4 linked regions of the Lepisosteus oculatus genome follow. The protein of the gene in region 1 binds, or shares a complex with, the protein of each later gene. Links are inferred from orthologs where the notes say so. Each region holds a gene or a part of one and is shown in the gene's direction. Other genes may lie near its edges. The genes, in order: ush1c, cdhr2, anks4b and myo7aa.

Region 1 (7,584 bases):
TAGAATCCATCCGTGCTTCATATGCACCAGGTGTTGATGGAATCAATTTCTCCAAGAAAAGCCAGATTAAAAAAAGTAGTTTAGCTGTAAAGGAGACACATTTTTCTATGATAATGTAGAAGTTTGTTTTTCAGGTGGACTTTCTCTTCTGTTTCAGATCTGAGAGCATCCCTACTCCTGCTTAAAGAATGACGACAGGCACTAATTAACATAATTTATTCAGGCAGGTATCAGAGGCCATGCAAATGAGCAAACTACCGTAATGTTAACCTATGTCAGAAGTCTGTCTTAAAATGTATAAAATGCGTATGTCCGTCTTTAGTCATTAAGTTCTGCTTGAAACAGCTTATTAAAAACGCATTTCGGAGGAAATAGAATATTACTTGCTGTTCAGACTCCTTGCCCAGAGAACGGTCTGATTTAAGCCTCTCCTGTTTTGACTTAAATTATCCGTTATACCAGAGTTGACTTTTATTCTCCTTTTCATTTGAAGGTTTTGTGCCTCGATTGTTTTAAGACTGAGAAGTGTAAACGTAAACTACAAAATAATTAAAATGCATTTGAAAAATTATTATAGACCAAGCTTGTGGTCTACTTTCACAGTTTAAATCCGAATCCGTTAAAAAACAAAAGGAGATTTTTCTGTTCATTGTACTTTACAAAAACAAAACTGAATCAAAAAGGTGAGATGTTAAATTTTTAAGATACCTTCACAATTCCACACAAACCTGTTTGGGAATAGGGGATTGAATAAGTAAGTAGGTCGCCACCTAGCGGAGATCTGAGTTAACACTCACCTGTTTCCCTTCACATTGAAAAAATGTTTATTTGTTAAAGCTATATATACTATATATAGGGCACTTATTTCCAGAAGGGATACATGTTTAAAAGTAAAAGACTTCATTTCAGAGATTAATGTATGCTTATAAAATAGATAACTATCATCATCGTAGTTAACCCCTTATTCTTGTTACGTTAACATTAATACCGTAAGCCATGTTAAATATTTTTTCACCGTTTATTTGTAATTCTTATTCACAAATTAATTATGTTTCAGAAATATTGTCGACCAGAGGTATCTTAATAGGGCGTAGTAAGAACTCGGGTACATTATATTGTACCAGTTCGGAAAGAGATGTCAATCCAGTGGAGAGCGCATTCGTGAAACAGTATTCATTCTTCCCCGAAAGTATTTATTCCTAAAATATAGTGATTTTTAAAAACAAATGCTGGATACAGTATACACAAACTACAAAACGGAAGGAAGCGGTTTGTTGAGAGTATTTGTACGAGGAGACCGGCCGGTATTCACACCGGAGCGGTCTATGCGCAGCAGGTAGCTGTACCTGCGTCTTTCCAGCCTTGTATTGAAAGGAACAGGGAAGCGCCTTGAGCGCTCCGCTCCTCCCAGCGCCGGACAGACAGCCGCAGAGGAGCAGCACTAACGAGCTCGGCAGAGCCGGCAGCGCGGACAGGAGCCCGGTGTTGCGCACAACCATGGAGCGAAAAGTTGCTCGCGAATTCAGGCATAAGGTAGGAAACGCGGGGGCTTGGGATGAGACGTGTGTATCAAGACATGTACAGTACATGTAAAACAGTCTTTTAAAAAAAAAACGCCAAGATGACAAAAGACATGTACTATATGTACTCTGACCCCTATCAATTAACCATGTACATGGGGGAAGGGCGTTGTACGTGGCAGTTATGTACGTTTACTAACTTATTTACTTACTTAATTTATTTTATTTCTTGAATGTTTTTATTATTATGAATTCTAACAGTTGCGGTAATTGTTACTCTTAGCTGAGAAAATGTGTAGCGCAGCTAATGGAGTGTAGTGGAGTGTATCGAAATAACTTGTATTTACTATTTTTAATTTGCTTTTTGTTGGACGGAATTTATAAATTATAGTTCATTTGATACAGTATTGTGTTTCAAAACAGGAGCAAGAATGGGATTACTATGCAAATACTAATCAATACAGTAGGCTGCACTTCAGAAAACGTGATAAACTCTCGCAGTTTCTAGGCCTACATCTGTGATTGATTGGGTTTAGGAACGATGCTACAATGTGAATTTCTAAAAGTTATTGTCAAAAACACTAAATAATACACAAGTCCAGATGCTCAGATGTGGAAAACAGTTAACTGGTAGCATCTGTACACATACAGTACAACACATGGTCTATAAAACATCATGTTGCTAAGGATCATAATTTATAACGTTAAAAACGAACAAAAAAACATCAAATATCTGACACGCCACATGATATGAAAGTTGCACCATGGGTAGGGGTAGGTTCTTCCATATAAAAAAGACTCACTGTGCCTTAGTCGCTAAATTGCGACCCCATAAAGCTGTGCTCTTCAGCACATAATTTATAGATGCTACCAAATATGTTCAGTGAGGCAGAAACATTCTTTGCTGATTTACTGTTGATTAAATTAGAATGACATCAAAGGGGGAGAACGCTGCATAATAAAGGACACTTGGCTTTGAATCAACAGAGCTCGGTTGACCTTTTATCTAATTTGTCACTCCTGATTGTGCTTGAAATGCCGTTTCTGGTTTTTCTGAAGGCTGTACTTTCTGAAAAATGGCACTCAAGAGGAAATATTCCCAAACTGTTTTGTTTTGTGCTACGCATTATGCTCATTTGCAAAAAAGGGGAAATAATCCTTCTTGAAGGAGAGGATTACAAAGATGTTTAAACTCGCTCTTCTTCTGTCATCTCACCTGAGAAGATTACAAACCAGAGGAGGCCATTTGATCCATCTCACGTGTTTGCTGCTACTACTGTGGCTAAACTCTTTCAACCGTGTTCCCATATAGTGAGGATGAACTAACATGAAAATGTAAATTGTTTTCACATGTTGTGCCATTATGTTCAATATCACTCATTTAACAGTGTTTACAGACTTTAAATATATACAGAAAATGTCACTTTTAGATATGCCGTTTTAAATCTTCTCTGGTGCTCTTATTTAACACAAATTGGAATATGTACTTAAGTGCTATTTTCAATTTTTATTTTTAGCTTCTGTTTATTTAATGTCCATTTTTTACGTCATAGTTTGCTGGTATTTCACTATCAGTATGGCAAGTTTTATGGCTTTCAAGTATCAAAGTCTTTGGGGTGGTATGAATTGTGCAATAATGAGTTACGAGACGTATGAATGTTTCTACCTACTCAGCGGTATAGCTGCCATTTTGCACACATCATCTTTAATTACATAGTAAAGGCTCCATTTTAATACAACTCAGGTTGAAATCTAAATTTAGACACAGTGCATTGTGTGCTGCAGATGATTCAGTTAGGAATATTTGCAATCCACTTTTGTACTTTGCAATGCTGCAAGACTGTATTCTCAGAAAGGAAGGGGCTCTAACACTGACTGAACATGCACCTTGAAAATGTGTTGAAAAGGTTTTTAAATATCATGGGAGGAATATTATTTATGCTTGCATGAGGAAGCTTAAAGAAAGGCAGGTAGGGCAGTAGCTGTTGTTGACAATAGGGTCTATTAGTGTTACTTCTTGATGAGCTGTCCCAAAGCGGACAAAGTTGCATCTGTCTGTAATTTGTAAAGTTACAAAGAGAAAGGGGTAGTTGTCAGGACACCACCATCACAGATACCAGAGTACCAACTCCAGTCACAGTGCTGTCAGTCTGTGCTGGTGTAACAGGGCTCATGCACTGAGTCAGTGACAGAAGTGACATCACCCCCTTCTGAAAGCTAGACAGGGTAAGACTCTGTGACAGAAGAGGACCTGGTGTTGAAGTCCACTGCATTCTACAGCTCCACAGGAGCAGAAGTCTCCTCTGGCTGTGTGGTTCTGGGTCACTAGCAGTTGTGATCAGATCCCGGCAGGAGCAGAGTGGAGTCACGCTGATCACTGATGGCATGGAGAACTCTCCCGTTAGAGACCCGGGTGTTTTGGAGTGGCAGGGTTGTCCACAGTCTAGAGCCTGTGATTGGCCTAAACCAGTGCCTCATGACCTGGGATAATGTTGGAGGTGGTTTCATCTTTTAGACGAGACGTTAAACCAAGGCCCTGCTTACTTGGTCAGATTGCATGATAGTGTTTATATGAGTGAGCTTTTTAATTAACCCCAGTGTCCTGACTACTCTGGACTTTCACAATCTGGCCTTCTTAAAGTTTAGCCCTTTGGTGACAACATTTTTCTTTCCTTGTCTGGATCTGCTGTCCCAGGCAGAAGCTTCTTTTCAGCGGTGCATGAATTGCATCACCTACAAAGCGCCTAATAATTTTAATGAATAATATTAGATATTCTTAAAATTCATATTAAAGCAGTTTCTTTGATCAAAACAAACTTAATCTGAAGGAAAGTTTATTTCCAAATGCGACAGAAATCAGACCTTTTTGGGTTACTAATAGAGTCGGGAGAAAAGGCCTCTTTATATACTGTACTGCAGGGCCTGTGGAAAGGAGGCTGTAGTTGAATGTGTTGTAAAGTGACACTGCTCCAGCTGAACCTCCCATTACCACGCATAGAAGTGGCTACTAGTACTGAGCCAGATGAAGGCTGCAGGCTGAGCAGAGAAAGCGATCTGCCCCGGGAACTTATTGTAGACAACAATACCCTCTGGATAACTGTAGCACTGCTCTTGAGCCAGTGATCACTTTACACAAGCAGCTACACTGATTCTGGATGGGAGGAATGTGCTACATTAATGAATGGCCGAAAAGGTTTTTGAAAATATTTGTCCAGCAGTTCAGCCGTTACCAGGTAAGGGACTATATAAACGCATGACTTTCTGCAATGCCGTATGTGGGATCCGTTTTTCATTTTTGTTGAAATCCTTTTGTATGCTCTCTAAAGACGTTCATCAAGTCAGTTCTGAATATGTATATTATCAGCATGTTAAAACAATGTTATCATTGTGTGGTTGCTTTACTTTGTAGGTGGAATTGCTTATTGACAATGAAGCTGAAAAGGATTACCTTTACGATGTGCTGCGGATGTACCACCAGTGAGTCCTGTTTTTTCTTGGCTATTTTCTTCTGATATTGTCCATTTTACCCACTACTATTTATACAATATTTTTAAGATATTTTGTTAATATTCTCAATGTAGACTTATAGTACTGTATCACACTATTAATATTTTACCCATGAATAATAAGTTTTCTTTCCATTTGTGCTGGAAACAGGAAAGTTATTTAAATGTGATGCATGAAATGCAGGTCTCTTAAAATCCCAGCATGTTATGAAATGCAGAACATTTCTCACATCAAGTAAAATGTTTATTTTATGTATAAATGATTGTACTTTTATCATTACTGCATAGCTTAGTAATGTTAGTTCATCTTTTGATTTCAGTGAGACACTCTGCTTATCCACACTGCACATTTTGCATTTAAAAAGACTGAATCGATTTCATACACTTTAATAACTAAACTTCAGCAGATGTGCTTATACGGTATATTCTGTCAAGATTTGTCTGAGGAATACTGACAAAAGAATTCCGCAGTGGGAGGTATTGTTTCCACTGAGTTGTGTAATAATAGCAGCTGAATGGAGTGAAATGTAGATGTTGCAGAAGTTTCCATGTGATCTTTGTAAGGAGGAACAGTTTTGTTTCTCACTGGATATGTATCCAGTTCTCTTTCACTCCCTGTCCAATTGAACCTCTATTCATATTCGCTTTTGCTTGTGCGTCAGAAATGAAATAGCTATGGTTAATAATTTAAAGACTCCACCAGGTTGCTAAATTCATAAACAGCTGTCATACAATGCCAGAGCAGTTTTTATGAGGTATAGTTTACTACAGTGCTTCAGGAACTTGCTGGTACCTTTATGCTCAGCAGCTGTGGAGAACTTTTAAGTGAACCATAACATGATTTATAGAGATCTGCAAAGTACCTCCTATCCAGTGGTTGTCATCGTGTACAGTATACAGTATTACAGAAAATAAGGCACTAATTTAAGCATGAGCTAATGTATTCAGGCAATTTTAAGTTCACTGAGATTTTTTATTATCCAAAAGTATTCTTCACTTTTAGAACTGTTGTCATTGTTTTAATAAGCTAATTTTCCACATTTAATATCTTTGCTTAACTGGATTTGATATACTGTAGATGTCGGTATGGTGCAGTCATTTTCCTTTGACCTATTTTAATTTTTAGGACCTGTTTAGTAATGGAGAATTAATACTTAATTGTGTCAGAAGGCATTATTTTGTTACAGTGCCTCTTAGTTATAAGAAAGTGCATAATATACATTTTTTTTAAAATGACAACCTCACGGAGATGTCCCAAAATATATTATGAAACTACCACAGAGCAAAACAGCTTTTTACATTTACATTTATTTGTGTTAATTGCAACAAGTTTTTTAAGTAGATTTGGTTATCCATTGTATAAACATTTCCAAGAGGTTTTCAGATAATTTTCATTATCTCGTTGCTTGAAAGTCGGGGTGGCAGATATATTTTTAATTGTACAGTACATGATGTTTCAATGTTAAAGTCAATATACATTACACATCACATGTCACAGTATTGTACCGTTTGATAGGAGCAGGAGTCATTAAGGCTATTGACTGAAATGGGTAGGTGTGTCAGGGGGTTACTGCGATGGTATCCTTGAACTAGTGCTTGACTCAGATTGCTCCAGTAAAAAAGCTGCTGTATAAATGCATGCTCTCAAGGTTGCTGTGGTAAATGAGAATTTGTTCTCAGCTGGCTTGTCTGATTGAATAAATCAACCACGTTTAGTCATTCGGATGGTTCCAGGGAGTATTTTAATTCATAATTTCTCACATTTTCTAAATGTTCTATTTCATCAGTGTTCTCAGGCCTCGAGCCTTAAAGGCTGTTTGACACAGAGTAAGTTGTCAAAAGGAGACATTTATTGTTGAGCTCGAGATATACAGCTGTACCCCTGCCATTGCTGGGCTGATGTTAAAGCTCTTTGTTCTGGTAGCCCTTCATCTTTTCTTTCCCAGATCTATGGACCTCCCTGTCTTGGTTGGTGATCTAAAGCTGGTCATTAGTGAGCCAAGCCGCCTGCCTCTTTTTGACTCCATTCGACCTCTCATCCCCCTGAAGCACCAGGTGGAGTATGACCAGCTCACCCCTAAACGGTCAAGGTGAGCAGGCTTCTGCAGATGCCCATGTAACGATGCTGTAAAACAGATGGGCCAAGCTTGGAAGAAATGTAGAAAAGAAAAAAAAAGAGTTTGATATATAATCCCATTTTAACTGAATTGCTGGTTTTCAGATTCACTGATCCACATCTAAATGTAATGGAATGAGTTTAGCAGTGAGACAGAGTTTTTGTGATTGAGGTTGAAAAAGAAACTGGCCCATGAGATTCTATTTGTAAGCAAAAGAAACACAATTTAATGAACATATAAAAATAACATAAGCAACTGTATCTGTTTACTTTAACATTATACAGTGAAATGGATAGGATTACTCCTGAAAGAAGAAAGTATTTCTGTGTTAGCAAAAGAGAAAACAACTGACTAAGTTGAAAAGTTGAAAGGCAGCTATATTTTGAATGTACTGTATAGTACATTATTAGGTTTAAAATGCAAACAATGCAAGCTTGTAAA
Region 2 (7,724 bases), on another chromosome or scaffold:
ATTATTCTGGCCACTGGGTGGCAGCACATACAGCTAAAAATCCACACACCCTTCAGGAGCCGGCGCCAGTCTTAACAGCCAGGAGTCGATCAACGGGACTGAAATTGCACCTATAATAATATGTTTCAAATTCAGCACTTCCAAAATAAGACAAAAGTCGATGAAATCACCTGATGCTTTTTGCGACAGAGGTTTACAGAGGTGCTCAGGAGGAGTCTGGCCTCGACTCAAAAAGCGAGTACTTCTTGTTGGCCACCTGATGATGTCATCAGACTTGACTGGCACACAGGAATCGGTGTGTACAGGAAGGTGGTCTCGGCTCTTTCATTCACCTTTCAGTTATTTCACGATTATACCTGTTTGGTGACAACAGGGAAAACGAGGTGGTCACTCATCACATTTTGAGGACTGTATAGTACAGTATCTATAGTAGAACCGCAGTGTGGTAACAGTATAGGAATAATGATGATATAGCCAAAAATAGAATTTGAATAGACTTTTTGAAAATTATATAATCTCGCTGAAATGTATTTTTATTTAGTTTATATGTCTCTCTTAGCTCAGGCCAGTCCAACACTGTATCAATCATCCAATTAATGTTCATTTAAAAGCTATGCGAATGCATTGCATAGTGTTTTACAAGTCAAACAGAGGCAAAGTTGTTTTTTTTTGTATTTCTATTTTGTTTATTTCTTGCAAACGCAAATAAAATTACTTCGTTTTGTATGTATGCCGAAATGAACCGGCTTATCATCTTACCAAACAATATGACGTGTCTGAAATTTCAGAAACGACACTGTTCTTTTAAACAGAGGTAGAATGCCTACGTACATATGTACATATATATTCCTAACTTTTAATTGCATTTGCTTTGCTTTTGAAAGTTAAAATTTCTCGTCTTCGAAATGTTTACGTATTCCTTGTATTCAAATTAAAATGCTGTCATACGCTATTAAAATAGTGCCCACCAGGGGGCAGTGCAAACGCAACAAATACCGTTTAGTCTATTGTAACTTCTCTGTGCTGTAAATGTTGCGTAAATATTTTTTTATATATTTTTTTTTTGGACTCGGATATAAATATACTGATATATCTTTCTACTGCTGAACTAGTTCAAGCGGCACTGGGGATTTTCACTGTGTTCAACGCTAATAACTGCAACCAATCCATTGGTGTAGAGTATTGCAGAGGAGAAAGGACATCTGAAAAGGGCCCAGACAGGTGGGTAAAGGCAACTGTGATTTCAGCTGGCTTGCCACGATGAAGTTAGTCCATGCTTGAGGAGAGCACCACCCTGCCATTTCTAATCTTCCACCACTATTCGTCTCTATCAGTGTGCTACGACATAGTCACGTGGTTTTCATCACGATCCAATGGACCTGCACACAAGTTTATCTCTATTGCATGGAGGTAACACTGATAAATAAGCCTGCAATAAAAATGACAAGTTATGGTTGAACTTTGATAACTATGTGAGACGCACAAGCACAAACGGTATCATTTGAAGCATTTTTATGATAACAGGTTTATCCTTAAACAAGAAACTGAAATTAAAACGCTAAAAAGATCAACTACTTTTGGTTATGGCAAAAAAACAAAACAAAGCACAAACGATTTGTCTAGTCTAGTAGTAATTCAGCAGTGTAAGGTTGTTTTTGAAGTGTTGTCCTGTTTATAAAGAGTTATTGTATGTGGCTCTCTGAGAGACATATAAAAGAACCTATAGCAGTGTGTTTATTTGAGTACACATTATTTCTGTGAGTTGCCATGAAATGTGATAATTTTTGACATGATAAAGATTACACAGCCTGAACAAAGAGAAGACAAATATCATTACCTGTCACATCATTCTTGTCACTAGCACTTTGACTGGATTTTTTTTCAAGATGCAGGAATAGGAAAAATGTAAGAGATGTTACAGATAGGTGGAAGGCATTTGGCTTAGTGGTTAGCTAGTAGCTAATTAAACTGAGTATCTCCAGCACCTTCCTCCATTAAAGATGACGGAGTATGAGCGTCAACAACATGGCTGTATAGCTTGTTCCATTCCCCAGTAACACTTTGCATGGTAAGCAGCTCCTGTGCTTGGTTTTAAATGTACACCCTTGTACTTTCCACGTGCCTTCTGGTTTGGGATTCGCTGCTGAATCAGAGGAAACCCATTAAGTTGCCCTTGACAGTGCCTTTGAACACTTGAGTGAGGTCTCCTTGTAGTTTTCTCTGTTCGAGACTCAAGAGATTTATTTCTCTGCGTCTGGCAGACAGTGTAGGGCATTCCTTTAAGTCCTCTTTTCTTGGGTGTTCTGTTCTGGACTGATTCCAGGGCGACACTATCTTTTCACTAAAAGATGGTTTTGTAATTTCCGAATACTGTAAGGAGCTCAGAGTTAGCGGGTAGCTCAGACTTGGAACAATGTGGTGACAGATTACGGCTTTCATGGCATTTTAAATATGGGTCAACCACTGAAACTGTCTGGGAAATGTGGAAACTTGAAAATGCGATTTTTGACAAAATGGAACTATTTATGAAATTTGTCAGAGTAGATCCCATAATATTTTATGTCACTATAGTTAATACTACAGGAACCAGCTGTGTATTTACACAGTACATTCGTTATTAGTTGTAACATAAGGATTAGGGTTAAGCGTAGTATTTGCTTAGGTGGTTCTTCAGTATTCTTGCTTTTACCCAGTAGGTAGAATCCATATTTGAGTGTAGAGGCTCAGCATGTTAGACGTTATCCCAGCTTCTGAAGTGTTAAACAGACCAAGAGATGATTCCCCCTTAGAAGGGACACTAATCCATCACAGGATCACTTCCACTGGTGCAATTACACCTATTTTTACAGTTTGGGGAACAAGAGAAATTACAGTAAAGTACTTTTATCAAGAAGACAGAAGCAGTATCTACAAGAACTAGCAGGGACACTCTCCCAGTGACAGTCCAGAGATCTAAACACTACTCAAAGATGCCCCCATGTGTTTTCAAGGGTAACAGTGCCAACAAATGTCCCACAAGCCACAAATACATAAAGCGTCTGTTTTAAATTTTTCTTTTGAATATGAAATTTGTCGTGAAAATTGAAACAAATGGGAAATACAGGATGAATATTTAGACACCATGCAGCTGTGCACTGGCTAATTAGACTGGATTGGACTGGGTGCTTGACAGCTCCTGAACAAGAAAGCAATTAAGCAAATGGAGGGGTTTCTTTCCTTTTGACTATGACTATGGTAATGTACAGGTCGCCGACATGTTATGATGGCAGGTTGTTAAATGATACAGCAGTTGAGCAAAAAGTAAAACATTTTTTGTATTATTTAATAATGTGATTGCAATTTGTTTCGTTTAGTACATTGAAACAAAACGCAGCCCAATACCTTGTAAGTAGCCATCTTCCCAAATGTATCAGAAGGAAATTTAAGTGCAAGGAGGAAATAAAGGCAAGGAAAGAAAGGTCTCTATAGATTTACTGCGAGCAGCAATAAAACAGGTCAACGCAGAAAAAAAAGATGTTTTGAGTTTTCAGAAGGCTTTGTGTATGACATAACTGGGTCATTATTATTTCTGAAGCATCAGTTTGTCTCAGCTTGCCAATATACAGTTGGGCTAATCCTCTTTGCTGTAGACGTCATATTCCTCAATCTTAACATTTTGCTGTGGTCTGAATTTCTTCAGTAATAATATCCTATAAATACATATCAAGTTAAATTGTTTTTTTTTTTTAAATAAAGTACTCCCGTAAAAGTCATAAACCTTGGATATGATGATTTAGATTGCACTTTGATCTCTGAATACACAGGTTTGTATATGATGCATATGACGTTTGAATATTGATACTGTTTGCTGCCTGCCAGGCTCCACCCAAAACAGAAAAGCTTTGTAGGTATATACATGTGAATGTGAATGACACGCTATAAAACCATAGTTCAAAATAAAGTGATAAGAAAAGTCAATTTCTTACAGTACATAAGTTCTACCTGACAGTTTTGATTCCCTCAGTGACTCTCTTTTAACTTTATTTAGTTCCACTAAAAGTGTATCAACCCAGGTGTCACATACTCTGCTTTCAACTGACATGAAGGACAATTTAGACATCTCTAAACATAAGAGCAGAAAAATGGTTACAAATGACAGGAGACCATTAGGCCCATTAGCTGCAGTGTGATCTACAAAACATTTTAAGAAGTTACAATAATACTCAACATGTTGCATTATTAATGTCTTTTATTATTCCGTATATGTAACAGTGATTATTTGGCATTAATTTTATTTTCAGCATCTCACAGTTTGTCTTTGATGGGTGAAGGCTAAGGAGCACTCAAACCTAAAACAGTATCTTTTTCTGAACAAAGACAAATTTGGCTAACTTGGCCTTGTCAAAGTCCGAAGGAAAGGACCGGTTAAGGAGACTAAAAAAGATCATATCAAATTTCCAGACAGGTTTTATTTGTCTGAATGAGCTAAATGGGTTTCAGTTCAGATGACTGAACTTCTCCTAATTAAGACTGAAAAGGGAAACACAATGGCCTTCTTTGTTTTAATGAATAAGCCTAAATGTAGGCCACTGAGGTTTCTTTTTGTTTATTAATGATAAAAAAAAACACTTCAATGGATTATCCTTTGTCTGCATCAGGATAATTACAAGGAGTGACTGGTGGGGGCTTATAATAAGGAGCAGCTCGTTAGTGCCTTTGTGAGCGAGTGGGAAGGATCTTTGGTGATTGGAGAGTTTAGTGTTCATTCATTGGTACAGAAAATCGCAGAGTAGTTCTCTCCTCATGCATTTTATTAACTTCATTGAAGAATGCCAGATGGGATTTTGATTTAAAATCTTGCACATAGGTATGAGTCATTCACATTGGGAAATATGTGTCAGACTCTACAGGTGGGCCTAAAAGAAACATTAACTAAACATGGCACTGCTGGGGGTTCTGCTAGCAAACAGGTTATTTTGCTTGCAAATCAGTTTAAGGGTTAAAGTATACATTTGCAGGATTACCAACGACGCTGAGTGGCAATATGACAGTTGGTCATTTTAAGCAAGTGATGTTGCCTCTAACAACGTTATTTCAGTGGCTCTCAATGGCTGAATCTTTTAACATGAATTTTAACACACAATCAGTATTATAAAAAACTGCTTGTATTTACAACCTAAAAAAGGGAATGAGAGGAACAATATCCATAATTTAATCTGTTGTTAATTTTTTCACCATGGATGAAAATAAGTTGTAATTGACAGTATGTGCTATAATTCAGCTTTACGAAGTTAGACTGAAAAGCACAAGGCCAAATGACATTTTGATTTCACATGGAAGATTACACTTAAAGTTTTCTGAGGGGACAAGCATTTTACCTAATTAACATTTTGGTACAGTAACATTTTAAATGCTTTATTTTTGCAGCTGATGCAGCCACAAGAGAGATTTATCTTGTTAATAGGAGGTACTGTACAAATTCTGTTGCTGTGTTTTTAAGGAGACAAGGCAGTACCACTCACTGTAAATGATTCACATTTACAGCCAGGCGTCCATAATCTCCAAAGCTGTTAATTACTTTTAAAGAAGGCAAAGGTCTGTTTCAGTCTTCTTTCCCTACATTGAGAGGAACACACCCAAGAAGTGACATTGAGAGGAGTTGTCGTCCAAGGTAAATTCAAGCTTTTGTATACTTTTGATGTTTTACAAAAAAAAGTTTTATTTGGTCTACCTGCTCTTAGGTTTGTAATGCAAAGCTTTTTAAATTTTTCTTTATTGTTATATTGTTTTGTACATTTAAATTTTTAAATAAATTGTGAGTATGATATCAACTAACTACCTACATATTTGGTCTCCATGTTACAGATATCAGGAATACAATATCATTTAATAAATCATTTAATCCAATACAACAGATTCTAATTAAATATGATATGATATCTATTGTTTTGTCAAAGATTTCTAAAGTGCTCATTCTTCTCAGTCCAGTATCTGTTTCCAATTGAATACATCAATTGATGATCAATATTACTTTCTTGGAAAGAAGAAGAGATGAGAAATCTGTAGGAACCAGAGGGTTGGGAGAGGACTTTGAAGTCCAAATTTTGTTCTGAGTAAAAGGAAAAGCTCACAACTTGTCTCACTCAATTAATAACTTACAAAAAAATCAAGGAAACGTTTTAATGATTGCATAGTAGTGTACCATAGACGATAGAAATCTGAGAAAAGCTATAAGAATATACAATATATTCTTCAAAACACGCAACTAATTTGTAGGATTCACTTTCACACTATTACAAATTGCACGATCTCATTCTTGATAACAGCGACAACCCTAAATCTAGTGAAAACAGACAAAACCTTAGACATTGTGCTTTGCCTTAAGGTGCCACTATATTTTCCAGTCTAATGGGATTTGTTAATTAACACACCAGCAAATCTTTTAATTGCTCAATGGGATCACCCAGCATCAGAGTGACAAGTGAAGTGGAATTAGCACCAGCATATTTTTAAACTAGATCCTTAAAACCACTGGTACTGAAAACGTGGTTTCTCCCTCCTTTTGTATTTAAGCAGTAGCAATCACTAAGGCCATCACAAGGTCATGGTATATACTGTAGGTGGTTGTGAGACATTTGATCACAGAGAACCTGTTAAAAATCCAGTATTTAAACATCTTATTTCCTAGCATCTCTTATGAATTGTTTTGTGGTTGCTTTTTGTAGTTTTTATTGAGCCTTTCTTCCGTTGGAAAGGTTACTACTTGGGGTTTCTCTTTCCTGGTATTTTGTAAAGGAATTTGGTGTACCTGATGCAATTCTAAATCAATGAATAAAAGATAAGTCTCTGTAAAAGACTCTGTAGGACAAATGTAGTAAAAAGGAAAATTGTTATCTTCAAATAATGAACTATAGTCAATCAAGATGGGAGGTTGGGTGTTCTTAATATGGAAAACAAAATATATTTTTAAGCAATAGAAGAACTATATACAGAAGAGGTATACAGTATATAGTAATAATTATAAATAATTATAAACCATATCTCAATCCTTTAGTGCTAAAATTCTGCAGTCTGTACACAAGACAATGTTGTTCTGTCATCAGTCTGTGAGTGATCCTTCCTCAGTACAGAATGGGCCTTCAGTTCTTAAATTCTGAAATCAGTGTATGACGTTGGTGAAGGTTTAAAACCGACATTTTGAAATCAAGAAATTGTGGGTGGTTGATTGCCAGGCTTTTTAAGATTTTGAACATGTTTCTTGTACAGTATAGCGCAGCAGTCAGTTTCTTGGCATTGAGAAAGCAAAAAATGTAAACTTAAACTTGATGCTTTTCCAATGAACATTTATAAAGGAATACAATTGTTTTACCCTTACTTTGAAAAAAGTCTAACACTGTGCTGTTTACAATCTGCAGTAAACAGGTGAGGAACCACCATTGTGTTTCTGTGCCTGTGGTTCCTGCAACAGGTTGTAGGGGGTTTCCCTCTGTTACACTTACAAGATTAATTTTGTTGAGTAAACCTGGAGATGGAGATGGAAGGGATTTAAATGTAACTTAGAGCTTTAATTCATTTCAGTCCAGCCACTGTCTCTAATTTTAGAGTACACGTACAAGTCAAACATATGTAACACTCTCCCAAAGCTTTATTTATGTGAATGCTTTACCTCGTTTCTAACAACAGTCCCTGTTGTGTTGTGTGCTTGCAGTCTTCCTGGCAGAAACCATAAAGATGATGAGCCTTGT
Region 3 (7,708 bases), on another chromosome or scaffold:
GCGAGACGGACCTGAAATGCCACATCTTTGACCAGGAGAAGGTGCACAGAATCTGCGTCCATCTTACTATCAGGTCACGCCCTTATTTATCTTTAAATTTACTTTACTTTTAAAAATGAAATGGACACAGGCTTCTCTGAGCCAAGCAGGACAAGGAAGAGGAAAAAGTATATTATTAGGTGTACATTTAAAAAAAAAAGTCCCCAATTATTTTGGTGTGCTCTATACCCCCGTGCCCTCTCTCGTTCTCCAAACCTCGAGAGCTTAAAAGGGTTTCGTCTGCGTTTTGCTTCGGCTTTCTCTCTGTCACTTAGAAACCAGATGCCCTCTCCCTCAGAATTCCTCCCGGAGCCATCTGGAGGACGGTCCACACAAAGAGCGACAAGCAGGCGATTGTTTACCCTCAGTATGGCCTGCACGGTCTGCAGCGGGTACGTTGCGGTGGTTGCGATGGCTTTGGCGAGGGCTCCCATGAGGAAGATCTCCAGCGATGAGATCTGAAGGGGGAGGAGAAACACACTCAAGCCGTGTTCGCAGCTTACCGCCCGGCAGGGGCATCTGGAAATGGAGAGGTCACACACGAGGGTGGCCCTCAGTCCCGCCGGCTTTGTGGCTGCCCTCCTTAAAACCCTGATTTTGTTTTGGGGCCCTGGAACTGCCCTTCGATGAAGTGGCTCCGAGATCACGGGAGCTAAACATACCAGCAGCTGCTAGGCTCCCAGGGACCGTGGCTGGTCCTCACCCTCGTCTTCATACCAGCTGCGTTCCCAAGTGGATCAAAGCTCCCGCTCTTTCCCCGTCGGGCCTGGGGCTCGGGATCGAGTGGCAGGGCCTGCAGCTGACAGGGGCGGGCGAGGGGCCCTCTCACCTTCCTGCGGCCGCGGCCGGCCCTCCTCTTCATCGCTTCGTAGAACATGAACTGCACCGCGGGGTTGAAGACCAGGAGGAGGGAGGGCAGCGTGCCGTTCCACAGGGCCCCCAGCCCCTCCCGGGCTGCGATCTGGGAGAAGGCATCTAGAGAGACAGGGGGGGGGCTGTGTTACGCAGTGCCTGCAGGACAGGAGTTGACTCATGTGGTCTCATGTCAGGCCCAGCTTTAAAAGCCAAGGCAACACGCGGCGTGGTCTGACAGGGTGGCTCACCGAAAATGCCCTTATAGTGAGTCTGCTGAAGCTCCTCGTTCCTGAACCTGGCTCCCTGCAGCTTCAGCCTGGTGTTGACGACCCACATGGGGGTAGTCAGGAGGACATTGACGGCCCCTGAAAGACACCGTGAGCTCAGCCGGGCTGGGAGTTCAGCCTGCAGAAACCAACGCCTCACACGTTGGCTTCAGTACAACCTCTTCTCGGCTCACGCGAGTTCTGTCTAGACTGTGGGCGGCGCCCTCTCACCCGAGATGAAGCCCATGAGCAGGTCTCTGCCCGGCCGGGACCGGCCCCTCTCCAGCGCCCACAGGGCCTTCAGGGTGTTGAAGGTGTAGAAATACACGAAGTTGGAGCAGCAGAGGCTGGAGATCACGGGAAACCAGCCGCGATACAGAGCCGGGCTGCAGGAAGAAGAGGGAAAGCCCGCTCCCAGGCGTCACACATCCGCGGCGGCTCAGGCCCCCCCGAGCCGCGACAAAGCGGCCCCCGACCAACTACCCTCTCCGCCATGGCCGACCTGCGCTGCTGTGGGCAAACGCAGTCCCTGGCCAGAGCGCAGCAGCTGCTCACTAGCGCCTCCTCCCCCTGGGGGAGGCAGGGGACCATGCGCCCTGCGGCAGGTCCGGCTCGTCACGAGACCCCCCCCCAGCCGCCCCGGACGCCGACCCCGGCTGTACTTACACCCCCTCCTCCTTCGCGATCTCGGCCAGGATGACGGGAGTGGACCTGGACTTCCGGTGCTCGTCCACTGAAAGTGACCAGCCACACAAAACCGTCACCGCGGCGGCCGGAACTTGACCATCAGTGTGCAGTCCCTCAGAGCTCAGAGCAGAGCCTCAGCGCTGGGGGACTCTTCGAATAAAGACCGACACAGTGCCCATTCTTTCACCCTCCCGAAGTCAAATTGTTTTTAATAAAAAATCACCCTCAGTTAACATCAGAGCCGCCTTTTAACCCTTTCAGAACAATAACGAGAACAAAGCAAAATAAACACTGCCCTCAAACAGAACAGACATGGCCCCAGTGGGCGCTGTGCCCAGTTAGACCCAGGTTCATGAGGTCAGGAGGTCATGTGATCACGGGGCACCTGCAGCACAGTGCAGCTGTCCCGCGGCGGGTCTGGGTCTTGTGCTGGTCAAGAGTTTGGTCTGAACCGAAAGCGTTGCTGGTACCCCTGCCCGTCTCACCTTGCAGCCGGATCCTGGCCGTGTCCAGCGGGAAGAACACGCTCATGGCCGTCGCGCTGCCCTGCGGAGGCACGGAGCGGCGGGGGGTTAGCGCCGACACGGAACAGCCCGCACTTTCAACCCGCCCCTCGACGGGGCTTTTTCCGCTCGGGGGCGGAAAGAAGAAAGAAAAAAAGGTCCTGAACGATCAGACCTTGGCACGGTTACTTTTTGCAATGAGACGCTTGTCATCTGCGTTGACGTATTTAGCAATGCGGTAGTTTGTATTTTGTGTTACCGTGAAGCACGCTGGCCGGGGCTCTGTCTCGGTCCGCAGACCGGATACAGAACCCGCAGCTAGGCGCCGGTCAGATAAAAACTCGCACTAAAACATGACTTTCCGAGACTTCTGGCACCAGCGCGATGGCGTTGAAGTGAAAAGTACATAAAGACGCGTTGAGACCCTGAAATCCGAGCTCAGCTCGTCCAGTTTGCCCCGAGTCTCCTACCACAGCCCCAGCGACGGCGTGTACGAGGGTCTCATAAGACAGCAGGCCGACGGCGGCCACCGGGGGCTCCGACATTTCCTCCTGCTGAGGCGGGGGCGACATCTCGGCGCGGTCCTGGCCAGGGCGCATGTATAACACCACCGGCTCCAACTCCTCTCCGCTCCCGGGCTGACTGCGGCAAACGGCCCTCCCTCCTCGCTTCCTCCTGCGTGCAGAGGAGGAGCTACGCCGGAGATGGCTCTCTGTGTCCTGTAGGGCGGGGAGGAGGGGGGAGGGATCCCCGACATACAGGTGTTTCGGGTCCGACTTGCGGGAGTCCAGGAGAAACTGAGCAGGAGGCAGCGGGTTTGCGCGAGTTCCGTTCAGTTTAGTTGTCACCTGCCCCAGCGCAGTGAAATGCTTATTTGCACTTAGGCTCCGATACAAAGGCAGTAAAAGAAATCAACAGAAACAGAAACACAGAACAGCTGCAGCAACAACAACAACAAGAAGTTAAAAAAAAAACATGCAACTTAAAAAAAAAAGTCAGACAAGTAGTGTAGGTTGGGAACATCAGGGTGAGCCATTAGGCGAGGTATTGGGGTGCTGTTAAGGGGTTTTCTTGGGGTCTTTTGAGGGTGCGGGTCTGTCTGGGTTTCTGCGGGCAGCCTCGAGTCACGTGGGTTTTAGCGAGCGCCCCCCAGAGGAGAGTCCCGGTACTGATTCGGGCCCGGGCTGTCCCGCAGGCAGGCGAGGGAGCCCAGACAGGGCCGGCTTTTCCACAAGTAAGGGCTGAAGAATTCACACCTCACTAGCCACGACTGGCTCGGCGGAAGAAAAAAACAAGAGGAGCCGAATTCGCGGCGAATATTTTAATTAGAATCAGCTCCGTCAAATCTCTTTATGTTTAATATCCCCTGCTCTTTTTTTTTGCGTTTGTCAAAAGAAAATTTTAAATATTTCGTTTTGGGAGTTTTTTTTAAAGAAACTTTGGTTTACCCTAGATCATTTCACTTCCACTGTCTTCCATACTAATGGAGATACTAGTACTGTCTAAAGGGGTTGGTTGGTGCTGAATTCATGTTGCACGAATTATATTTTGTTGTGGGTAACTTTATTACTTATGTCTATTGCACCATTGTGTAGTTTGCTTTTATATTGCTGTAGGGCGACTCGTTGATTGCGAAATAAAAGTATTTCGTGAATAGCAATGTTTTCCGTTGTGTTAAAGCCAGGCTCTTAACGGTGTAATCCTACAATGATCTCGGCTAGCCGACAGTGTAACAATGGCGGCACTGTAGGCTCATCTGTAGGAGTGGTACAATAATAACAAGAGAATTAACTGACCTACCGAAAAGAGCTCCTCCTTTGACCTCACGTCTTTAATGAGCACATTGAGCAGACAGAACAAACTGTTCCCACAACCCGGAGGAATTAAGACCCCCTGGTTCCAGATCTGCGTGCGTGTCGGAGCGGAGGCGCATCATCTTAATTACAGCAGCTACTTATTTCAGGGCGAGCCTGTTCAACTCAACTATTAATATATTTAAAATAGAATTTTAAAACCCATACAGCAATTTTGTTGTTATGAAAGATATGACTGTGTGCATAGTTGAATCATGGGTTATTAAGACGTACGGTATTAAGTAATATGTATATATTTCTAACATAGTTCAGGTGGGTAGCTGTGTCACCATGCGTAGGCTGGAAAGGAACAAGTAATAGGTTTATTCCTATTCAGGTGTGGAATTTGTTTTCGGCACGGACTAAACCTATTATTTCTAACATATACATGTTAGAAAACAAGCCTTATTAAGTCATATGTAGTTACAGCCTTAACTAGAACATTATTAAATTATTTTTTTAGTTTTTCTCGTTCAAAAAGTGACTTTAGTCAAAGAAACAAAATAGATATCTTATTTTATTGTAATGTCTCCTTGGATATAACACAGATCAAGTCACTCCATGTCTCGATATGTGATACAATTATATTTTGATTTTTGTCGAAGAGGAGGGAGAGGGTGAATTTCATTCTCCTTCTTGTAACACACCGCAAAGAGCGGATCGATGAAGTCCTCGCCGTACAAACTGGCGTCTCCCCATTTGCGCCACCTTCAATGCACACCGAGCCAGGAGAGATGGACTTTGCCTGCGATTTATGGCCCAGCAGGTGGAGGTGGCGACTCGGCCTTTATCTTCAGCCCTTGGTGTTGAAGAGACTCTTGTTTTCCAGGCTGGCGGGGGCGATCATGCGAGGCGTCCTGCGGTAGAGGCGCTGGTCTGTGTCCCGAGGTCTCGCCATCAAGCTGAGAAAGAGAGAGGAGCGGCACCGGTCATCATGTCTACGAGGTACCATAAAGCGGCCATCGATGGCTATCTGGACCTGCTGAAAGAGGGTACCAGGAAGGATCTGAACACCCCGGATGAGGACGGCATGACCCCGACCCTCTGGGCGGCTTTCCACGGACATCTCGAGGCGCTGCAGCTGATCTGCAGCAGGGGGTGAGTAAGGCGAGGAGCCGGCATCCGTTTCGTCGAGCGGCCGGTGAGGCGACTCACCGGGGCGAAACCCCAGAGAAAACCTGACCGTAGAGGACAGACAGGATTAAAAAGTACACTTCTGTAGACCACGAATGGCAAAACCTACCCTTATTTTTTTAAACTAATATTTTGTGTGCAAAATGCTTGAAAGTCCCATTTCCATGTATGAATACAACGTAGTTTTAACTTTTTTTTCCCTTTTGCGTAGTGTCAAAAAGCTTTTAGTTTTCTCAAAAACAAAAAAAAATCCATCAAGAGATTTTTTTAATTAAAAATATTCACGATGTGAATTCTGTTCTCCAGCAAATAGAGATCACATAAATGGTATTTTTCCTCCTACTTATGCTTCAATAATATGTCAAATGTACTTATATTCACCCCCTCCTTACTTTTTAATGTTCTCTAAAATATTCCGTATGTATTCGGACGTTGATTTTGTCGCACAGCGTCTTAACGATGTACAGGATATTATTACGGGATACTTTACAATATTATATCGGCCGGTTTCCCCTTCATCGATCTCTTCCGCCTGTGATCTCTTTGATCTGTTTGACTTCAATCTAACGGTATCTCAGCAGGTGCTGAAAGAGTTTTTCGATCAGAAAGCGGATGGCGCGAGTGACTTAACGTTAATTTAAACGCCTTGAACATCGTGTAGCTGGTGCTTTCATTTTCCGTTCGCCAAACGACCCGACAAGAATGATGCCGGAGTTATACTGCGATCAGCGACCATCAAACCAGCCTCCCCCAAGTGCTGTAAACAAGCGCTTCCCATTTTAATGAAAAAAAAGGGAATACACTCAGAAACAAAAGCCTACAAACAGAAGGCAGAACAAAAACAGAACGGAGTTGCTCACGTCGGCTTCCTCAAAGGTGGGTGGGGTGGGTGGTATTGCACATACCTGCAAAGTCTCTTCATGGGATGAGACCTTTATACCCTGCAAGAAGACACTTCCTCAGTGCTCTAACACAGACATAACGTCACCACAGAGAGTTCTAGACACTTAGCTAGCAAGGTCAGCTGAGCTCTTTGTTTTTGCATTGCACGGTTTTTCTTTTTGTTCACCAGTTCCTCCAGTTTTCAACTCCACTCAGTTCAGTCTCCAAACACCCGGAACTTCCAACAGCAGGTCAAGCAATCCGGACCCCAAGACAAGAGCTGGGCTCTTCCTTCCTCGCGCTTTCTCCCAGGGAATCCACTGATCTCTGGGAAGGTGGCGATGGTACAGCCGCACGCGGCTCTCGTGAGGCCCAGACCAGTGAACGCGTGGGGGAACTGATCTGGGGACCGTGCAGCCGGTGTCACTTGTACTTGTGGGTTTGTCAAAGCTTGAGAAACGCGAAAGGACACCACGGGCAGGTATCAAAGGTTGCTGTGAGATTATCACCTGCTGTATATAACAGCTTTCAGCAGTTATCAGTGCAGCTTTTTAATCACACGGGCAAAGTGATCAAACATCGTTTTTTTCTGAAACAACAGAATATCATTTCAACAAACATACTTTTCTCCTGGGATTTTGTTGCAGGACCACATCAGCCTGTTGAAGCCTTGACATATTTTACAATGGCTTTTTTTTTTGCTGCGTTTGTATCGTGAAATATCGTTTAAAAACTCTCGCCCCAGTTTGCGTCACTTGCAAAGCTTTTTGGGAGCTGAAGCTTTTTAGGAGCTGAATGATGCCAGAGATCTAATCAAGCAAAACAGAATAATGCTCAAACAACACAAAGGGCTCTTTCAGTTCAGAGAGGTTTGAGACTTTACTCTGCAGCTTTTCAATCGCATGTGTTCACACTGTAGCAGGAGAGAGCCAGAGAGAATTTTAGTCATTATAACAGAAAAGATCTTACATTGTTTAAAAAGTATTTTAGTGAACATTAATGTAATGAGGGTGAAAGAACAATAAATGATGTGTAACAGCTAATTACTTTATTTTATGTTTTTATTCTTCTCTTTAAAATTGGAAAAAGTTGTCAGTTTGTTGATGTGTCTTTCCAAAACATAGTTAACAAGAATCATCACTATCATCACCATCATCATCATCATCAATTTCAATGAAGGCCAGTTCAGGGTCACGCTGGCCCAGAGCCTATCCCAGGAAGCACTGGTCGCAAATCAGGATACGCCCTGGATGGGACACCTGTCCATGGCAGGACTCACACAGACATTTGTGTAGTTGCTAAGCGACTATCACCTAGCGGGCATTTTACAAGCCAGTAGATAATATACATGAGGACTTTATTCTTAATACCTCACCAGTTAAGTATTCGGCGGTTGTCACATGCAAACATACTGTAACAACCCTGATCTCCTTACCGTGATAAAAGCTGTTTCCATTGGAAAATCAGTAGGATAATCAATTGCTTTCGG
Region 4 (7,052 bases), on another chromosome or scaffold:
GTGAACAAAAATTAAAAGCCCTCTATTTTAGATATTTATATGGGAAGCTCTCCATACATAGTTGGTGGACTGTTTTGCAGTCCAAGGTAATTGTTCACTTGCTGTACACAGACCAGGGGTGTTTGTATAGAAGCTCATTAAACCAGAGTTTATTCCTGATTCCAAAGCGTTCAGCAGGTTGTGAGTTTGTTGGGACTTCAGTCCATTGTAGCGTTACTCCCCAGCAATGCTGGTACCCATTTTTACAACTGTGGATTGGCTGCCAGAAATTGGGGTGAAGTACTGTGCTGTAAAGGGACTTAAGTCTTGGGTTTCTAGAGACCAAACTTTGTTTTCCACCAAGTGCCCCCAACATACTGTAGTCTCCCTGCTCCAAACCCCAGGTTTCTAGAGCACTCTCCTTTAAACAGCTTTTGTTAGTCATTCAATTTTAGGTTTTACCGATATTACAATGAAGCATATGTTTATAGATGAATATTTTTAAAAACGACTAGGCACACACGGGCTTAACAAGGATATTTCGGGCAGTGTTCGTCCATTTTGATTTTGGTGTAACAGTTTTATTCCTTGTAGTCCTCATGCACTTTGTTCAGATGGGTTTTCTTTTAATGTGAATAAAGCTAAAAATACAAATATTCCAAGTACAGTGCGTGGATTGTCCCAGTGGCAAAAGATGCTAACTTGTGCTCTTAAAGCTTTAGATCTGAGGAGAAAACTCATGAGCAAATTATTACAAAGTATTTTTGTTTACACTTAAAAAGACTGACATAGCTCTGCTCTATATACTGTATGATGTAAAATGCATAATGATATGTACTTCTTTAATACTGCTACATTTTTTCTCTGACCTACTGCTGGTAGATCTGAGAACTGTGTAGTAGCTTTATAAGTCATATATGACTGAGTATAACATATTTACAATAAGTGTATTTGTTTTCTGAATTATGTGTGTCCTAGTCTGAAACCGGCATCCGATATAAAAGGAATTTTTAAAAAATCATGCATGGAACAGAAGAAGGAGCTTCTTTCACCTACCTGATTGTAACATGTTAGTCACTTTGCTTAAAATATTGCCAATTATTAGTGTTTTTCAGCATACACGTGACCATATATGCACCTTTCAGAATTACCTTTGATATTATAGTGTAAATTAAATCCTTTCCTAATTATCGGCTTTCTGCACATTCCTTTGTGTCATTTTCCAGCAATCGTGTACTTAACAGTTTATGCAAACCACAGAAATAGACAACATTTCAAATAGTAGTCATATAGACCATCTTTTCATTCTGTGTAAAACTGTGAAATTTAGTCAATAAAATCAGCCAATTGCAGAGACCCAGCTCTTGTTTTGCATAATCTGACTTGAATCTTGCAAATGTGTTGCATGATAACTTCTATACCGGACACTGCAAGATTTTTATGAATATTTTTTTAATATTTTCTACTTTTCTGTTACATCTTTTGTATTTCTGTGCTGAATATTGATTTAAAAAATGTCTAATGTTGTTAAAAAGCTTTTTGCTTAACAATGTCTGTGCTTCAGGATGTTTTCCTTGTTTCTTGTCAATTCCTAACTGGGGTGTTACTGTGGTTATTTTATAACACTTTATGGATTTTGTTTTTGTATTTTATGTCAATTTATGGCATGAATTTGAAATAAAATTAAAGAGCTTTTATTGTTTTATTATTCGGTTCTACCAGCGTTTTTTGTTAAGATGGCTACAGTATTTAGAGATTGTTTTAGTTTTCTGTGGGTAGTGTATTGTTGAAAAGCAGAGAACTATTGTGGGGTTAGAATGTGGCTTTGTTAAAAACGAAAGCTGCTTTGCCTCAGAGCTGACGACAACAGCAATAAATTTCTACTTTTTGTTATGGACTGTGCAGATTTAGACTGCTGTGAGCAGATGATTTATTGTCATATCGGTGGAGCAAATTAACAGTTTGAAACCAGTTTGCTAACCAATTAATGGATGGAACACCTGAACTTTTTCTTGTCTTCTTTGAATGAAGAAAGAAAGGCAAGGAGAGGGGAATTCGAGCTCGCATGTGATAATTGCACATTTGGTTTTTCTCTCCGTTTTAAATCCACCAACAGCAAAGTGGTCCATGGCAGTAATATCTCAGAAGCTTAGCTCGGTTGGCCAGCAGTTCCTGGGATGAGAGGCCTTTAGGGAAAGCCATGTTGCTGCAGTATGTTTTGTAGGTGGACCAGTAGGTGGCGCTCTTCCATCTGGACCAGACTAGCCATACCAGTGCCCTAGTATCATGACTAGGGACACTGCGCACGGTAAGTTACTCATATTTGTAAGAGAAATGGTGCTTGATTACACGGAGTTTACCACTGGCTTAATTAAGGTTGCCCCTCAATTCAATTCAAATGTTGAAGTAATTTTTAACTTCACTATAAGACCTATTAAGCAATGTGGCTGTCAGAATGTCACAGCTACTGTATATCACCTAGATCTAGAAAGAAGTGGTTCCCATCCTGTGTGTAAAGAACTATAAGATCCTTCGTGATGGCAGGTATAATACAAATGAAAGAAATTGTAGGAATCTTTAAGGGAACAATTTTTGAAACATTGGTTTTTAATCCTCCATTTTATGAACTATTAGCGTGGATTACAAACATAAATTCACTGTGAAGTCAGGTTATACCTGATGTGGATGGAAAAGTTACTTTTACTTTTGAAGCTTTCTTAAGGCAACGGTGATTCCATATAAAGGGCCAGCACCACATAAACAATGTTATTAATCTCGCATTGTGAAGAAGAACAGTTTGGGATATATCAAGCAATAGATTTCTCTTCAAAGATTAAATAAGCAGTATAGCTTCTTGATTTGTGGCTTTAGAGAAGGTTTCTGGCATTCATCTTAAAATAAATTGTGCATCTATCATAAATATTTCTTATTGAACTGAATTGAAAATCTAATTTGCTGCAGTGTTGAATCTAAGTATTTTTTTTTATTTTGACATTAAGAGAATCTTTAATTGCATGACGGTAGAATAAGACTCAAATAAAAGATGCTCCTCAGGATTTATGTGGGGAAAGCTACACTGTTACTGAAAAATAGGTACAATGCAGCTTTGTAATAAAATAACATAACTTTGTTGAAAACGTACAGTAGTTTGCTGAGTATTAAGAGTGTTATGTTAAACAAATGTATTATTGTTGATTTTTGGTTTACTTGTGTGGAATATTAGACAATTTGCTTTCCAACACAGTAAAGATAATTGACATAAAATAGCTATTAACTGCAAACAGTGCAACTGTGAAATGTTACAAAGTGCTTGTGTTTTCTCCAGCGTGACATTGAGACAGTCTCTTAAAGGTTATTTTTACTGAATATTAATAGTTACAATTTCATACACCTTTACAGGGAAAACTTAGTTCTGTCTATGTCAGTTACTTAAAATATCTGACAAATAATCACTGTATTACTTTGCATTAAGAGGTATTCTAACTTTTTCAGGCTGGGACTTTCAAACCAGCATTCTGAATGTTACTATCTTGTTCTCTCAAGGATAATCCATGTGTATGATTGATCAATGAGAGCAAATATGCACTTTATGTTTTAGACCTTGCACTAAGTACAAGAAGAAGTGCTGAGGACGTCTGAGCTCACACCTGAAGAAGGTTCCATGGCCGAAACGTTGTTTTCTTTCTTCTTTTTTTCAGCATGGAATAAACCCATTACTTGTTCCTTTGCAGCCTACGCATGCTGACGCTGCTACCCACCTGAACTACTGTTGATCAAATGCCTCTTTTTCCCCAGGTCCCCTTGAAGGGTTAATCTGCTGTGAGAAATGGTGGATCATGACAGGGAATTTTCCCTAAAAATCAAATCTAACCCAACTTGAACGGACCACCACAATGAGAACAGGATCTGCAGGGAGGGAGATGGGCAGTAACAGTGTTCTGGTTACTTCTCCAAAGCCCATGGTGTTGAAGCTCTCCTTTAGGGCTTGGTTTGCCTCCTCCCTCCTTGATGACCAGCCGTTTGCCCTAAGCCCTCCCTCCCTGCTGTGAGAGGGATCAGTGTCTGTGAATGAAAGCAGCACTGCTGCCTAATCCCTCCAACAGCACACATACTCTACACGGCAACTCCGGTTTTCAGCAGGTGCGTCAGTCAACTTGAAAGAGAGTTTTGCGTTTCAGTCACCTACACCACCAACTGGTGCCTCACTTGTCCCTGCTCTGGACTATTTTCCTGTGGAATAAAGTGGAGCAGAAAGAGCAGGATTCCTGGTTGGTTAAAAGGTAAGCAAAGGGATCCAGAGCTTAACTGCGCTGTTGGTTTCTTAAGGGTTTATTTAAAGCTTCTTAGAGCTAACATTTTTTCCCCTGCAGCATAGCTGGAACCAGACGGTAATGGGCCACTTTAATAAAAGAGACAGACTTTTTAGGAGAGCTTTCTAGATCGTCAAGAGTTAGCACACAATATATATTGAATTTTGAGGTAAAACAATCTGTATCCTGAGTTGTATTAGATGAACCTGAGTTTTTAATGCAAACATTTTAACAGAAGGAAACTAGTTTAGTGATGGCTGCCAAATGACAAATCTGTAGAAATAAAATTCTAATGCACACTTAGAAAATTATACTTTTTTTAGCAAACAAAAAGCTACCACACGCCCTAAAATGAAGACTTTTTTGAAGCTGGTGAAATGGCACACTGATACTTCTTTCTTGTTGTTATTAGTGCCAGAGAGATTAAGCACTTGACCTTATTGGTCATTCATTAATGGCATATCCTTTGACAAGATACAATAAATCTACAGGAGCAGTGAACTGAAAGAGTGAGACAAGACACGAGAAGGGCATTTTATGTCAGTGTTTGTAAGAATTCTAGCTAGTCTAGAGGATGAGCACATTGTTTTAAAGTTCAGACTCTGTTCACCGATTGTGACACAGACTTAAATAGTCTTGAACAGCAGACAGTTACATAACCTTATACATAACTAATGCTGGTTTGTTTTTGTAGTATCACTCTATAACCTGTGTTTCATAACTTTTTCAATTGGATTTTCAGGGGTAAATCCAGTCTGAGATCTGTCCCTAAGAAACCATGATGTAACACATTGCATTGATAGTCTTAATGGATGCCAAAACTGAGCTGACATGCAGTTACAGCAGACGATAGATTCTAGTACTGTGGAGGTTCAAAGATATTTACATTTTTTCCTTAAGCCATTACCGAGCTGTAGTAATGATTAACTTATGTTCCACACTTTTTTTGCATTGTAATCTAATAAGTGAAGTGAAAGCAAACCAACAGAGCTCCTTACTAAACTGTGTTCTTCATCCCCACTTTTAATTTTTCCATAATTTACAGTTGCCTCGGAACCAGCCTTCAATAACCAGTGATACACAGGCTGCCCTGAAATCATTATATGCAGGAAATTTGTTGAGGGAAACATGTCTGTTATGAATACTAACTACATTGCTGACACGCAGCTCCTGCTGGGTTTTGTGTTGTAAGCTGCACATTCTTGTGGACAGGATTTTTCTGACTTTATAAGGCAGGCTGGTGATTCGTCCATTGCAAGGACTTGTCTTTAAAATGAGCCACTTTGATTCCCAGGCCTTACAAGGTGTCTTCTATTGTACCTCTCTGACCTGGAGTGCAGTTGATAAGCAGCTCACACTTGGTCTCAGCAAGGCACACAAGGATATAAAAGGCATTGCTCTGCAAAAGAGCATAAGTATTAGATGCACCTGCAACTTTTAATTCCAGTATCTGAAACATCTTCTGTAAGGGCTGTGATTGGTACTGTAGTTTTATTAATGTTGCATATTCGCAATATGAAATACCATTGCTGAGAACACAGATTGGCATTATTATGACTTTTTTGGGGTGCATATAATTTTGTCTGCTTCCCTCCTCAAAAGCATGTGATAGACATTATTAATCAGCAAACTGAAAGAATTTTAGAGGCTGTGATCTTAGGGGCTAATAGGATTGCCACATATGGATTGCTAACACACATGGGGGCATGACTTAGTGTTATTTAATAAATCATTTTATAGAGTTGGTAGGGTGTATTGTAGCAGCAAAGGTTATATAAAGTTGGCGTTTTCAATCTACAGCTGCAATGATGGTCAATGCATGCTCACATTTTGGTCCATTGTCACTCATTTTGATATGTACAGTATGAGGACAGTACACTGAACCGGCCTAACCAGCTGTGCTCTATGAAGGCTTTTTATGCTAAACTCTTATATCAGCTATAACCAGGTTTACTAGTAGTTGTGTAGTACTAGTAGACCATACGTAGTATGAATTGCAAGTAAGTCATGTAGGTAGAACAATTTTGTGAGATGACGAGGGTCAAATCATCCGCAACAGTAACTTTCGGAAGCCGAAGAACAAAGTGAAATGATTATCCCCCTTGACATCCCAACTCAGGTCTGTGGTTATCTGCCTGACCAGACCTACAGGAAGAGAATGGCAAGGCAATATCAACTTTCCAGATGCAGCTCTCATGTTTTATTGTTTCATGCCCCTCCTGCTGTAATTAGGTATTTAAATATTCATGGTAAAATGTGTAGCTGCCACAGACAATATTCAGGGTGCCCGGTACACAGTGTCTTCCCTCAGTTAACAGCTTGTTATAACTGATTTGTTCTTATCATCTCATCCCTTGTATGCCTGCTGTGTATTTATAATGATTTGCACTGCTCACTTTATCATACTTCATACTTTACTGCACTGTGGCAGGCTAGAAGTGATGTGTTGAACAGATTGTTTCTTGTGCCCTCCAAAGCATTTCAGCAGCAAGGCTTAGAATCTTCTAGACTAGAGTTTCCAGTTTCCAGTTTTCTCATATGCTGATATGATATTTTTTCCCCCCACAAATGTAACACATCATCTTTTTTCATTCATTTGCTCATACCAGTCACTGGAAATAGTGTTGCAGAAGTCTCCAGTTGAATTTAATTTTACATTATGTCACACAGTTTTGAAAATCAATATGCTTGTATATGGTGACATCACAACCTATTTAGATAGATATATATTTTTTAATGAATTAGCAGCGATATTGGTGAATA

What was found.
Region 2: ush1c (region 1) and cdhr2 share a complex: the UniProt entries of both Homo sapiens proteins name them as parts of the IMAC/intermicrovillar adhesion complex. The link is inferred for Lepisosteus oculatus from reciprocal best matches to the Homo sapiens genes USH1C and CDHR2.
Region 3: ush1c (region 1) and anks4b share a complex: the UniProt entries of both Homo sapiens proteins name them as parts of the IMAC/intermicrovillar adhesion complex. The link is inferred for Lepisosteus oculatus from reciprocal best matches to the Homo sapiens genes USH1C and ANKS4B.
Region 4: the proteins of ush1c (region 1) and myo7aa are in contact, whole or in part, in a crystal structure (PDB 5MV9), measured with the Homo sapiens proteins. The link is inferred for Lepisosteus oculatus from reciprocal best matches to the Homo sapiens genes USH1C and MYO7A. Residues at the interface, in NP_001284693.1 of Homo sapiens: Glu450, Pro456, Ile457, Val461, Val462, Ser463, Tyr466, Glu467, Lys479, Gly480, Pro522, Tyr526, Asp527, Asp528, Glu529, Leu530, Thr531, Phe532, Phe533; in NP_000251.3 of Homo sapiens: Phe1946, Val1953, Ala1976, Lys1995, Lys1996, Trp1998, Gln2017, Pro2020, Lys2021, Arg2024, Tyr2026, Ser2112, Ala2113, Phe2114, Phe2115, Glu2116, Val2117, Lys2118, Ile2128, Ser2161, Gly2163, Asn2164, Thr2165, Tyr2166, His2168, Leu2181, Glu2183, Thr2184, Ser2185, Leu2186.

What each region holds. Positions count from the first base shown.
Region 1 is NC_090716.1:12,309,473-12,317,056, forward strand, and holds the start of ush1c (harmonin), read left to right. Parts: upstream 1-4,564; 5' UTR 4,565-4,675; coding exon 4,676-4,753; intron 4,754-4,929; coding exon 4,930-4,997; intron 4,998-6,972; coding exon 6,973-7,116; intron 7,117-7,584. UniProt on the Homo sapiens protein: Anchoring/scaffolding protein that is a part of the functional network formed by USH1C, USH1G, CDH23 and MYO7A that mediates mechanotransduction in cochlear hair cells. Required for normal development and maintenance of cochlear hair cell bundles.
Region 2 is NC_090706.1:37,321,702-37,329,425, reverse strand, and holds the start of cdhr2 (cadherin-related family member 2), read left to right. Parts: upstream 1-4,713; 5' UTR 4,714-4,846; intron 4,847-5,479; 5' UTR 5,480-5,650; intron 5,651-7,687; 5' UTR 7,688-7,710; coding exon 7,711-7,724. UniProt on the Homo sapiens protein: Intermicrovillar adhesion molecule that forms, via its extracellular domain, calcium-dependent heterophilic complexes with CDHR5 on adjacent microvilli. Thereby, controls the packing of microvilli at the apical membrane of epithelial cells.
Region 3 is NC_090714.1:16,471,660-16,479,367, forward strand, and holds the start of anks4b (ankyrin repeat and SAM domain-containing protein 4B), read left to right. Parts: upstream 1-4,697; 5' UTR 4,698-4,957; coding exon 4,958-5,301; intron 5,302-7,708. Other genes in the region: slc25a17l (peroxisomal membrane protein PMP34), read right to left, coding at 402-497, 869-1,014, 1,143-1,259, 1,392-1,546, 1,827-1,893, 2,333-2,393, 2,821-2,949. UniProt on the Homo sapiens protein: As part of the intermicrovillar adhesion complex/IMAC plays a role in epithelial brush border differentiation, controlling microvilli organization and length. Plays a role in assembly of the complex.
Region 4 is NC_090700.1:10,071,385-10,078,436, reverse strand, and holds the start of myo7aa (unconventional myosin-VIIa), read left to right. Parts: upstream 1-4,049; 5' UTR 4,050-4,259; intron 4,260-7,052. UniProt on the Homo sapiens protein: Myosins are actin-based motor molecules with ATPase activity. Unconventional myosins serve in intracellular movements. Their highly divergent tails bind to membranous compartments, which are then moved relative to actin filaments.